Drosophila melanogaster: one gene and its partners. The protein of the gene in region 1 interacts with the protein of each later gene in a pairwise test. Each region holds a gene or a part of one and is shown in the gene's direction. Other genes may lie near its edges. The genes, in order: CG2712, CG17855 and phol.

Region 1 (3,754 bases):
AGCATTTGTTCGGCCAGCTTGCGCTGGTTCTCCCGGAACTGGTTGATGGGATCGTCGAACTGGCGATAGTAGTGGAGCACCTCGCGCACGTCGTCCACGTTGTTCTGCGCAATTACTGTAGCGAATTGCAAGGGTCAGTGTTTAGCTTTCAATGTCACTTGTGGCGCAACTTACTCTTTAGGAAAGCGATAAGGTCCAGCAGTTGGCCATCATCGTCGTTGCCATGCCAGCGGGCCAAGCCGAATGTGTTGTCCGGATGCATCTTGGTGGCATTCGCATCCCAGTCCACAACAATCACCTAAAATACTCCCTTCTTTATAGATGATTGCAATAGAAAATACGTTGTGCATGACTTGCCTTCTTGAGGTCGCGATTAAGGTTGTCCAGGTTCTTCACATGATGGCCGTCCACAAAGTGCGTGGCATCCCTGACCAGGCGGTACATAATGTAGCCGTTGGGATCGAGGGCATCCAGGATGGGGAACACGGTCATGCCCTGTTCGGCGGTGAAGACGACAATTTCAAAGTCCTTGGCGCACTCGGCCAGAAAGTGGTCGACGCCGGGACGCTTCTTGAAGCGCCAGCCAGTTTGGTAAGTCCAGTCCGGATGCACCAGCACGTCCTTCATCTCCAGCACAAGCGTGTAGCGCGGCTGCACGTACGGCGGCTTGAGCGGATCGGGCAGCAGTTTGGCGCGCGACGGCTCCTGGATCATGCGCTGATAGTAGTGAATGCTCTTCCACATCCGCTGCAGATACTGCTGTACCAGCGGCTTGTGTGTGAACTCGTCCTCGATGGGCTGCCCGTTGGGGTCCACCTCGGGCTTGCCGAACTCGTAGACGGCCCAGAATCCAGCAGCCACGGCGCTGCCTCCGAATATTGCAAAGCTGCAGCAGGAAGTATTGTTATAATACTGTTACGCATTGAATGGGCGTCAGCTTACCCCAGCTTCATGCGCTTCCAGGCACGCTCGTTCTCCTTTTCCTCCTCCTCCTCGCGCTTCTTGCGCTCCTGCTCGGCGTTGCTGTCCACCTCCGGCGAGGTCTGAGGAAAGAGCTTGGCCAGCAGCGGGGCATTCGGTGCGACCTCGGGCGCATCATTGGGGCCAGTGGCTCCAGCTTCCTGCTCTGCGAAACGAAAGTGGCCAAGGATGAATGTTTAGGACTCTACTGTTTAGGACTCTACCGTGAATCACTTACTGGTTGTGCTGCTGTAGCCACGCGCTGTGTGCAGGATCGAGAAGAGCGCCGGAGCAGCCGCTGGCAGTGCTGTGCAAGTGAATAGTCGGAGGTACTGCTGCTGGTGGTGGAGGAGGTGGTGCTGGTGCTGGTAGTGTTGGTGGTAGTGGTGGTAGTGATTACCCAATGCGCGGTGCTGGTGGATGTGGGTAAGAAGACGCGGCGTGCTAAGGCCGCGCAGCAACTGGAGGACGGTGGCCGGTGCCATGCTCATGCTCATGCTTCCCCCTTCCTTCCCGATATCGAGTCCTAGAGCCGTTCACGAGTCCTGCTCGGATGGCAGCGACTTTTTACTTATAAAAAATTCCAACAAAAATTTCAACTTCCCACCGGCACGGCGTTGGCGTTAGGGATTTTATATACTGTCCACTGCCAGGCGGCACCAGGCGTTAGTACATTTAGCACGTGGCTCTCAGCAGGTATAGATCGGCGATTTTCAAGCCAAATCTGGCGGGATTTTGCAGATAACTGCGTGTGTACATATGTTGCCTCCGGCAATCTGACTAATCACAGTATTAAGAAAATTTTAAATTAAAATATTTTAAATAATATGGAAATACACAACCTTTGACCAACCACCAAGCCACTGTGCCTCTGGTCACTTCCAAGCTGATGTGCCTGGCTAGCTATTTTGAGTGCCACCACTAACGCATCAGCTGGACTTTGGCATCACTGTTCGGGACGCTAAATTAAGTTATTTATTTAAACGTGTATTATCTACTGTCGAGTTCAATCCATGACGACCATGTCGCCGCCGTCCCCCATGGACGCCTTGTGCCGCGTGTGCCACACAGCATCGCCGCGCTGCCTGCCGCTCTTCAAACCGCTCGACGATCCAATTTCCGGCAAACCAGCGACGCTGGCCAGCATTTTAAGCTACTGCAGCGGTCTGGAGATCCTAGAGGCGGAGCTCTTCCTGCCCCACCACATCTGCCCGGACTGCGTGGCCAAGTTGCGGCTCTCGCTGGAATTCAAGCGGAGTGTCCATCGCATGGACAGAATTCTGCGGCAGAGTCATGCGGACTTTTGCCGCAGCAAAAAGATCAGCGCGGTGAATACTAGGGCCAGGCTGTCAACCGAGATTCCGGAGGATTTTGTACTCGTGCTCGATGACCAGGAAGTGACTGAATATCCAGCAGAAACGATACGAGATGAGGAGCAACTCCTGGTCGTAGAATCAGATGAGGCGGAGAGCCGGCTGGAAGCGCCAATTGTACAGGAGGAGAGGCTGGATATTGCACTGGAACAGCACGAAGACGATCTCTGCGAGATTGTCGACGATCCGGATCCGGAGCAACGTAGGAGCAGGTTAGAAAGATCCGAGCCAGCGCTGCAATGTCCCGTGAGTTGCCTTTCCGAATTAGAAGTAAGTAATCACGAAATAGTTTCCCATCTTCGGCAGATTTGCGGCAAACAACTGGCTAGGAAGCGGACCTTTCAGTACCACATGAGGCTACATGGCCAGCCAAAAATTCGCCAAGAAGACAACGACCACTGCATTGAAGAGTGCCTCCAAGTGGAGCCCGTTTTGCAGGCCAAAGCTGGCGAAGATGTCTACGAGATTGTGGAGAAATCAGCACAGACTTCGGCGACGCAGAAAACTTTGCCCAGTGGAAGCCGGCCTTGGAAACCCCTCAATCCCTCCCTACAGTGTAAAGTAAGTTGGTCATCGCAGCTCGCAAATAACTCAAAGCCGAAGGTCATCAATTCTCCCTCCATTCCTTTAGATCTGTGGCAAGCAACTAAGCACCAACAACTCCTTCAAGTACCATATGCAGCTACATGGCACGGCCACGCCCTACGTTTGCACAATCTGCGGAGAGTCCTTTAAGACGCGAAACGCCCGCGACGGCCATGTCACGCTGCACGATCGTAACAATCCGAACAGGTGCCCCACCTGCTTCAAGGTCTACCGGCAGGCGTCCTCGCTGCGCACACACCTTCTAATCCACAGCGGAATCAAGCCATTCGAGTGCAGCATCTGCGGCAAGAGGCTAACACAGAAGTCGGGCTACAAGAAGCACATGCTCACCCACACGGGCGAGAAGCCGCACGGCTGCGACATTTGCGGCCGTCGCTTCCGCTACTCGAGCAATCTGATTGCCCACAAGCGCTGCCACAGCCAGGAGAAGCCCCACCCGTGCCCGGTGTGCCAGAAGCGCAGCTTCGGCAGCACATCCGAGCTCAACCGCCACATGCTCGTCCACAGCAGCGAGCGACCGTTCGGCTGTGAGCAGTGCGGCAAGTCCTTCAAGCGCCGCATCTCACTCGCCATCCATCGCCAGTCGCACAAGGCGGGCAGACAGCGGAGGCGGGCCGAGCATGAAGTGGGTGTCCAACTGGAGGAGCAGGACGAGAATGTGGAGACCTGAAGCTAGATCGCTTATACTATCGGCTTAATGTACAAATCGGGACATTTAGTTTTAGTTCAATTCGCTTTTATTTTCGGTACTTTCCTTCGCACAATAACAAGTTTTAAGTGTGTTCCTATTGTTAGGATAAATTTGATTGGTTTTC
Region 2 (3,754 bases), on another chromosome or scaffold:
CATGTAGCTATAAGCTAGGATTTTCGATTTGTGGCAACATCAGCAATGTCTCCATTCCCGGCGGCAATCGCCTCATCGTACTTTGAGTGTATGTGGTTCATGCCCGTTTCCTGATGAAGTGACTCGTCCCTCAGCTGCTCATTGTACTTACGACCGAGTGTTCAAATCTACTAATAGAAGGCATCTGAAAATAGAAATCTTTTGATATATACAACATTCAACCAGAATTCGAATCCGAGTCAGATACGATTACGAATCCTTGCAGATAATATTTATGTAACCAGGCGATAGAATAGAAATCCTAGAAAGCAACTAGCATATTTTAAGGTAGGAGTAGATCGTTGTGATAGGAATATTTTGTATTGTATTTTAGTGGAGTGTAGATTAGATCCGTAAAAAGTCGATTAAGTGTTTGAAGTCTGCTGCATACGTTTCGCTTTATTTCGACTTTATGCAATCTCGGTTTCGAAGTTTAACGATTGACTGAGAATCAGTTGGCGAAAGAAAAGAGAAACGAATAGCGAATTACAATGTTTTAATAATCCGAACATTTAACCATTGTCAATGGAAATTGTGCTGTGAAACAATTTGTGAGTATAGAAAACAAAAATTAACGAAAACGTTGAATTAGAAAGAAAGTGAAAATACGCTGAATGTAATTCTTATGCAAATACATCATTTAGAGAATCTTTGTGGACAAAATAGCGATGGGTTCGAATGAAGAATAGGTCTGGAATAGTTTTATGAAAAATCCTAAATTCCCTGTTTTAATGGTAGCGAGAAAATCAAGTGTCTAGCCTAGATTTTAAAACCGAATGATGTACTTTAAATGCGATAATGCCTTAAAAATATCAATTAAATATACACGCGGATAATATCAGTATCTCAACTGAAATGGGAATTCAATCGATCCATCCGGTTGTTTTCCTACGCACTGCCCGAGTGCAAGACCCCCAGTAGTCCTAAGTGATGCAATCTAGGTTAATTAGTAGCAACTATTTCTATGTTTACACCAACCAGCCACATACAGTAGGAAAGGAGGCAGAGAGGAGCTCCTCGAGCACTAAATAGATACATCCATATAAGAAATATATGTATACAATTGTACGTTAATAAGTACCTACGCGTAGCTAATAATTCGTATCGGGATATGTGTTTGTACAACATAACTTATACATTATTGAAGAGCGATTTTAAAACGGACTACAGAAAGTGAGTCTTAGGTGCAAAAGATCATATATATATATATCATATATATGTTTACTCAAAAAGTGTGTTTTAAGGAATACATATTTTTACTTAGAGAAATATTGCAAATAAACTAATAAGGACATGTATGAAATGAAAACAATGAGACTCCTAAAATGAAAAACAAAATAAACCAAAACTGCATTAAACAAGTCAATTTGTTTTTTCTTAAAAGACATTATTTTTAACGAATTTTTTAGTTATTTGAAATTTTGGCACAGTGGCGCCCCTACAAGATGGTACTCGAATTAGGGAACTACATAAATGGTGTGACCATGATGTTTGCAAGTATCTTATATCCAAGACACAAACCTAACGTACTTTAAATATAGATAACATTTTTATTAAAAATTTTTTTATAAATTTGGTTCACCATATAATATTTAAATTAACATTGTTATTTAAGCAACAAGACGAGCAAGAAATAATTAATTTTTAACGAGCCTATCTTTTGATTAGCATTTCTGATGATTAATACAAAAAACTTTTTCCATCAATTTGGGTTCCACATAGGTAAAAAAAATAATAGTGTTAATTAAATTGTTAAGACTTAAAATTTGATCGATTCTATATGTTCGTAAGCAATCGAATAACTTAACAAAGTAACTCTGCCAGCGATATCCACGCAATTCAACTCGCTGATAGCTTATCTTTACTGTTTTCAGCAACAAAAGATTTTTCAGTAGCTGAGTAATTTTTACCACTACGAATTGAAGTAATACAAATCGAACAAATGGAGAAACGTGCTACATCTACCATGCAGGTTCTCTATGCAGAACTGGCTGCCGGTGCGTATGAGCAATGTCGTTGCGTATACGCCATGTATTGAAACTCCTTTGCAGCAAAGTCCAGAAGTGCGGAGCTGGAGGAGGAAAACATTTTGCTGCGCCATCGACTAAATCGCGCATCTGCCAGCCACAGCACCAATGCGGCCATAAATGTGGAGGCCAAGATCATGGTCTTCCAATTGGAGGAGGAACGAGATCGTCTGGTGGAAACACTGCAGAAGCACAAGAAGAAGTACAACAAACTGCATGACGCTTATCTGGAGAAAGTGAAACGTTGTCGTGCTTTGGAGGAGATGTTTAAACGGCAGAAGACGCTTACAGGCTTGGTAATGAAGTCCTCTTTAGATCAAAGAAATGCAGGTGTGTTAGGAAATGGAATTTTTGCTTAAAATTAGATCAATACTCTAAAAATCTACTAGAGCAACGAATGGCTATGGAGAAAAGGCAGTCGGCCCAAAGCGATGTCAACGAATTGAACGAGCTGAAGGCCAAAGTAGAAAAACTTCAAAGAGCCCTTGATGAGTCATACGACATTATTGACGAAATGGATTTTGAACTTGAGAGCGTAAGACGCTTTAGAACGTATTAGCAAGCTTAAGTAAAAATGATTCGTTTAAAGGTGGAATTACTGGAAATGCAAAACCAATCCTTGCGGGACGAATTAGCCGCTTTTAAGGCAAAATCAGAAGAAGGAGCGACCAGTCTGCCGGCCTCGCTACCCAACGATGACGACCCACCGCCCAAATATGAGGAAGACTATCCCGGACAGCATCATAAAGCTATGCAGGCCCGGCGCTGCTCCTCTAGCAGTGAATCTGACCCCAAGGATGATGATGCCGACGCAGAAACTATGGAAAGAGCTGCTTTAACCCATAGCGTAAGCTTTAATCCTAATTCTCATTAATTATATATGTCTGATTGTTCCTTGTATTCAGCTCATACAAACTGTGGAAACAGAGAGCAATGCCCTAAGACGGGAATTGTTGAGATCCCGCTGTCAAAGAACAATTCGCGCCAAGTTGGAGAAAGAAAGCGAGCCTGTTGATTAGGATAAGTGGCGGGATTAATCTTATCACATAGCTCCCAGCCAAAAACTAAACAACCAACCAATAGATCATAATAACAAGTAGCCATACTAAAGCTGATGAAACTGATCACTAAGTTTACGCACAGAGAGCAATAACTAGACGGCTGGACTAACCCAGATTCCGAACCAACTACGCCTAACCAGTGCACATACCAGAATTTGCTTTTAAGGTTCGACAAACACGCTCGGCGGCTGCGTTAAATCAAAACTTTTGCGATATAGTAACCCGGTTTCTTGGACTGCGCGCAGAGAAACCCCTCGTCTAATGGCGATTAATTAAATTATTTGCTAATGCCATCAAACGAGTTGCGGACAGATCACCTGCCAAAAGGATCTGGCCTCCGAGCTGTGAAGGTTCCAGCCCCCGACTTCTGCCCTCCCATCCCATTTCCAATTCGACGTGGTGCGCTATCCATTAAAACATGACAATTATTTTTATGACTTAATGCAGTCGGAGGCCTTGTTGCCCAATGCCTAATGTTGCAAATTATTGACAAAGTAAATTAATCTCCACATTTGTTGGTTGGACCAGACAAACTAGCGCGACACCTCTAAGATCACCATCAAGCTCTCCCACTTGCGGCATATTCATTTGGATGCTTATCGAATGTGCGTCGCAAAAGAAAAATCA
Region 3 (3,754 bases), on another chromosome or scaffold:
ATTTCGTTTTGTGCTGGGCAGGGAAAAACAAACTGAAAATTTAGTACAATTTTAAGGCCCAGACAACCTGACAACCCAGACCGCCCAGACAGCTGATTGCTGACTTCAGCGGCGTGGCAAGAGGGTTAAAAAAAAAAACGAGTCAGCGCGTTCGTTTTTATAAATATGGATCCTAATAAAGTCCCAATTTCGGAATTTTATTAGTTAGAAGCTGGCGTACGAGATTTAAGAAGCATATTTTATTTTCTGAACCCCATTAAAAAATTTGAGCTACGCCTTTGATCCAAAAGACCTGCATCCCTGGTTTGTTTGCTGCTGAAATTGGCTGCATTCATCAACAAATGGCCCAAGTTCGAGGATCTTGCGAAAGTTTCTGTCCCGATGGGGAGGCGAAAATGTAGGTAAACGAAATTTAAACCCGAATTTAATATAATAACACCGTTTAATACATTCAGGCGTATTCGCGAGAAGCTTTTGCACTATTTCGAGCTAAAAAATGGCCAGAAGAACAAGCCAGGAGTCCTGGTCAAGGAGTTTACACGCTCCGCCGCCGATGTCAAGATGCCCATGCCCAAGGAAATGCGCACAGAAGCGGCATTGACCAAAACAGTGGAATATCTGCTCAAGGAGCAAGTATATTAGGCGCTTAGTTAGCCAAGTTAAATCTGATAATTAATATACTGTGCAGCATAATCCTGGACACACGAAAGCCGTACAATGTGGCTTACGACTTCATATTCGATCGATTGAGGGCGGTGCGTCGGGAGATCGTGATCCAGATGTACGATGCCAGTCAGAAGATTTGCCTGTTAGAGCCCATTGTGATGTTTCTGGCATATAGTCGCTATCGCTTGTGTGAGGAGCCCATCGAGAAGTTCGATCTCAAGATATGCAATCAGCATTTGCAAGAGTGCCTCACGGGAGTGCTTTGCTGTTACGAAGAACTGGAGGACTTGGAATCATCTAGAGAACCCACCGTTCGTGAGCTTGAGCGGCGCTGCTTCATAGAGAGCCTGTATCAATTGTTTAATCTGGGTTCTCCCGAGTCCTTTACACGCGCCCTCACCTTACCGGACTATGTGCGTCGGGATGCGACGTTTAAGCTTTGTTTTGGGATCTGTTTGGCCTTCCAACAGGGCAATTTGTATAGAGTGCTCATGGGTGTGCCACAATTGCCGCATATTCTGTGCGCGGTAGCTGCCGCCAAGTTGCAGGTGATAAGGAGGTACAGTATAACTTTTTCTATTGGATCTCTTATTGACATGATGCATTTTTAATGTAAATACATATGTATGTATGTATATTTGCAGGAGTTTGTTGCAGATTTTCACGCATGCCTACAACAACAAACAGCTTACGGTGCCGGTTCCTTACTTGTTGCGTTTACTGTTGTTCGATGGGCCAACAGGATTGCAGGACCAATGTCGGCATTATAATATATCCTTAACAGCGGATAGGAAGGCGGTGCAATTTAATAAGACTGATTTTAACCACAATGCAGAGGTATTTACACCCCAACACGAGCGCTTTGTGGAGTCGAAGCTGAAGCGTATTTATATTCCAGAAGTTCTATTGCTAAAGAAATTTAACTAGTTATTTATGAGCAACAATTGTAAATAGCTCGAAATAATAGTAAAGCCATGGAGATTAATTTATTGTTATTGCGCATTTGTTTTCTTGTCGGGTGGCAACCCTGGTGGCAGAACAACAAACCTATCGCTTATCGAAAGACAGAACGCCGCGGTATTTACAGCTAATAAATGGTTTGCCAGTTGGAGGTTAATAAAATGCAATTTTTGAATAGTAGTTAAGATTACATTTGTGCTGTTTTGCGAAGTAATGCGAAGAGAATAACCAATCTCCGCTGAATAAACCGCTTAAGATATACACAAAGCGCGCGCAGGGTTGCATTGTGGCGCCTGTCGCTGCACACTACACACACACACACCCCACACACGCAACGCGAGAGAAAGTACCGAGCCGTTTCTGGAAAATACAATTCCGCCATATTAACCGGCAAAATTCAAAATATTTACACTGCCCGAGGTGAGCGGGATCGAGGTGGTCATCCAAAGCGAGAATTAACCCGCCATTGGGCAGCAGGAGAGTGGCGGGCGGAGCGGAGCGAGCGGTACGCATCATTCGCCGTCTGCCGCCGCCGTCGCACAATAAACGATAGGCATTGGCCACAAAAAAGTGGAAAAAGAGGTGGAGGGAAAGGCCAGTTCAGTGCAGCAATACCGACGAAAACACGTACGTTTGTCCACTTTGGAAGTCTGGCGAATATATAGAGATATATACATAATACGGATTTTTGGCCAGATACTAATTGCCCACTTTTTCCGCAGCGCGCTCGCACACACAACACTAACACTCACGCACGAAGCAAGAGCGCCCACAAATACAAGCATACAGATACAGGCACACAGACAGGCAGACGGAGCAGCCGCGATGACAAGTCATCATCATCACGTCGGCGTCGGAGGGAACTTCCAGCCTCAACTGCATCAGATACGAGCGCCCATCGTGAAGAATCTATCGCTGGCCGCTGCGGCGGTACCGTTGCCCCTGCACTCCGCCCCGTCGTCGGCATACTTCACTCATGCACACCAGCCTACGGCGGCTACCATAGTCGAGCAAGATCCGTACACCGTTTTGGCGGGCGATCCGATGGGCGAGGAAAGCGAGAGCTTCCTGATCGAGGAGATCATCGACGACTATGATGATGAGGCTAATATCGTCGTAGACTCAGGCGAATTCTTTGAGCACTATGAATACTATCCGGTGGATCGGCTGGACAGACTTACCTCGGTCACGGTGGCTACGGCAGATGCACTGCCGCCGCCGATCATCATGCAGCAGACCAGCGACGATGAGGAATTCATCGAGGAGGATGGACAGCAGATGACATCCTCCTGCGATGGCGATGGCGATGAGGATGATGAGGCTACCGCGCCGGCTACGACAAATGCCTTCGAGATTGCCTCCGAGATGCTAACCACCATCGAGGCCACAAACATCAAGGAGGAGCAGCTCGAGAGCGACTTCTATATGAAGGCGACCGAGGATTCAAACAGTTCGAATGGCCAGCTGCAGGATTTTAAGCTATTTGGAAGCAGTCGCGTCGAGAGGCCCATGGGAAATTCAGCGGCCAAGCGCTGGAAGCAAACAAAGGTACCCATACGCATAACGCAGGATGAGTTCAATGTCACCCTTTGGTCCTCGCTCAACTCGGAGGATGAGGACGAGGAGGAGGAGTTGGAGGAACCACCTGGTTGTGCTGGCACCACATCCGTGACGTCCTCCTCCGCCGCCCAGAATGAAGGATCACCCAGCATGCCAAAGCTTATTATTGACGAGCACATGATCAACCACGATGTTTTAAGCGATGGCATCGGCAACGAGTACGTCATCCTACCCGATCCATTCAGCGCCTCTGCGGTCACGGATGTGGAGGAGGTGGTTAATGCATTTATGGGCGATGTCAAAGGCGAGGAGGACAGCCAGCCGCTAAGTGAACAGTTGATCTATGCGGAAAACCAGTTGGAAGAAGCTTATGGTAACATCGAGCTTATCGAGAACATGCCGAATAATGTGGAGCTGATACAGACACCGGGACCAGGTCCAGCCACTGTGTCGGTAGCGCTATCGAAGGTCAACGGATGTGTACCGAATCCACAGCCGGCTCTCCCAAAACTAGTGCTCCAGAACAGCAGCACCAATGTGCGACTGAAAAGTGCGGGAAATCAGTCAA

What was found.
Region 2: the proteins of CG2712 (region 1) and CG17855 interact in a two-hybrid assay, tested with the Drosophila melanogaster proteins (one large-scale study listed by BioGRID).
Region 3: the proteins of CG2712 (region 1) and phol interact in a two-hybrid assay, tested with the Drosophila melanogaster proteins (one large-scale study listed by BioGRID).

What each region holds. Positions count from the first base shown.
Region 1 is NC_004354.4:2,730,592-2,734,345, forward strand, and holds the start of CG2712 (uncharacterized protein), read left to right. Parts: upstream 1-1,877; 5' UTR 1,878-1,973; coding exon 1,974-2,579; intron 2,580-2,639; coding exon 2,640-2,894; intron 2,895-2,964; coding exon 2,965-3,609; 3' UTR 3,610-3,754. Other genes in the region: ttm50 (tiny tim 50), read right to left, coding at 1-115, 175-298, 358-886, 943-1,126, 1,199-1,457.
Region 2 is NT_033779.5:9,538,663-9,542,416, forward strand, and holds the start of CG17855 (uncharacterized protein), read left to right. Parts: upstream 1-1,860; 5' UTR 1,861-1,981; coding exon 1,982-2,036; intron 2,037-2,090; coding exon 2,091-2,396; intron 2,397-2,455; coding exon 2,456-2,601; intron 2,602-2,655; coding exon 2,656-2,913; intron 2,914-2,971; coding exon 2,972-3,085; 3' UTR 3,086-3,754.
Region 3 is NT_037436.4:9,454,237-9,457,990, reverse strand, and holds the start of phol (pleiohomeotic like), read left to right. Parts: upstream 1-1,709; 5' UTR 1,710-2,253; intron 2,254-2,348; 5' UTR 2,349-2,451; coding exon 2,452-3,754. Other genes in the region: CG3552 (uncharacterized protein), read right to left, coding at 1-2; CG3437 (uncharacterized protein), read left to right, coding at 342-397, 456-629, 689-1,225, 1,311-1,593.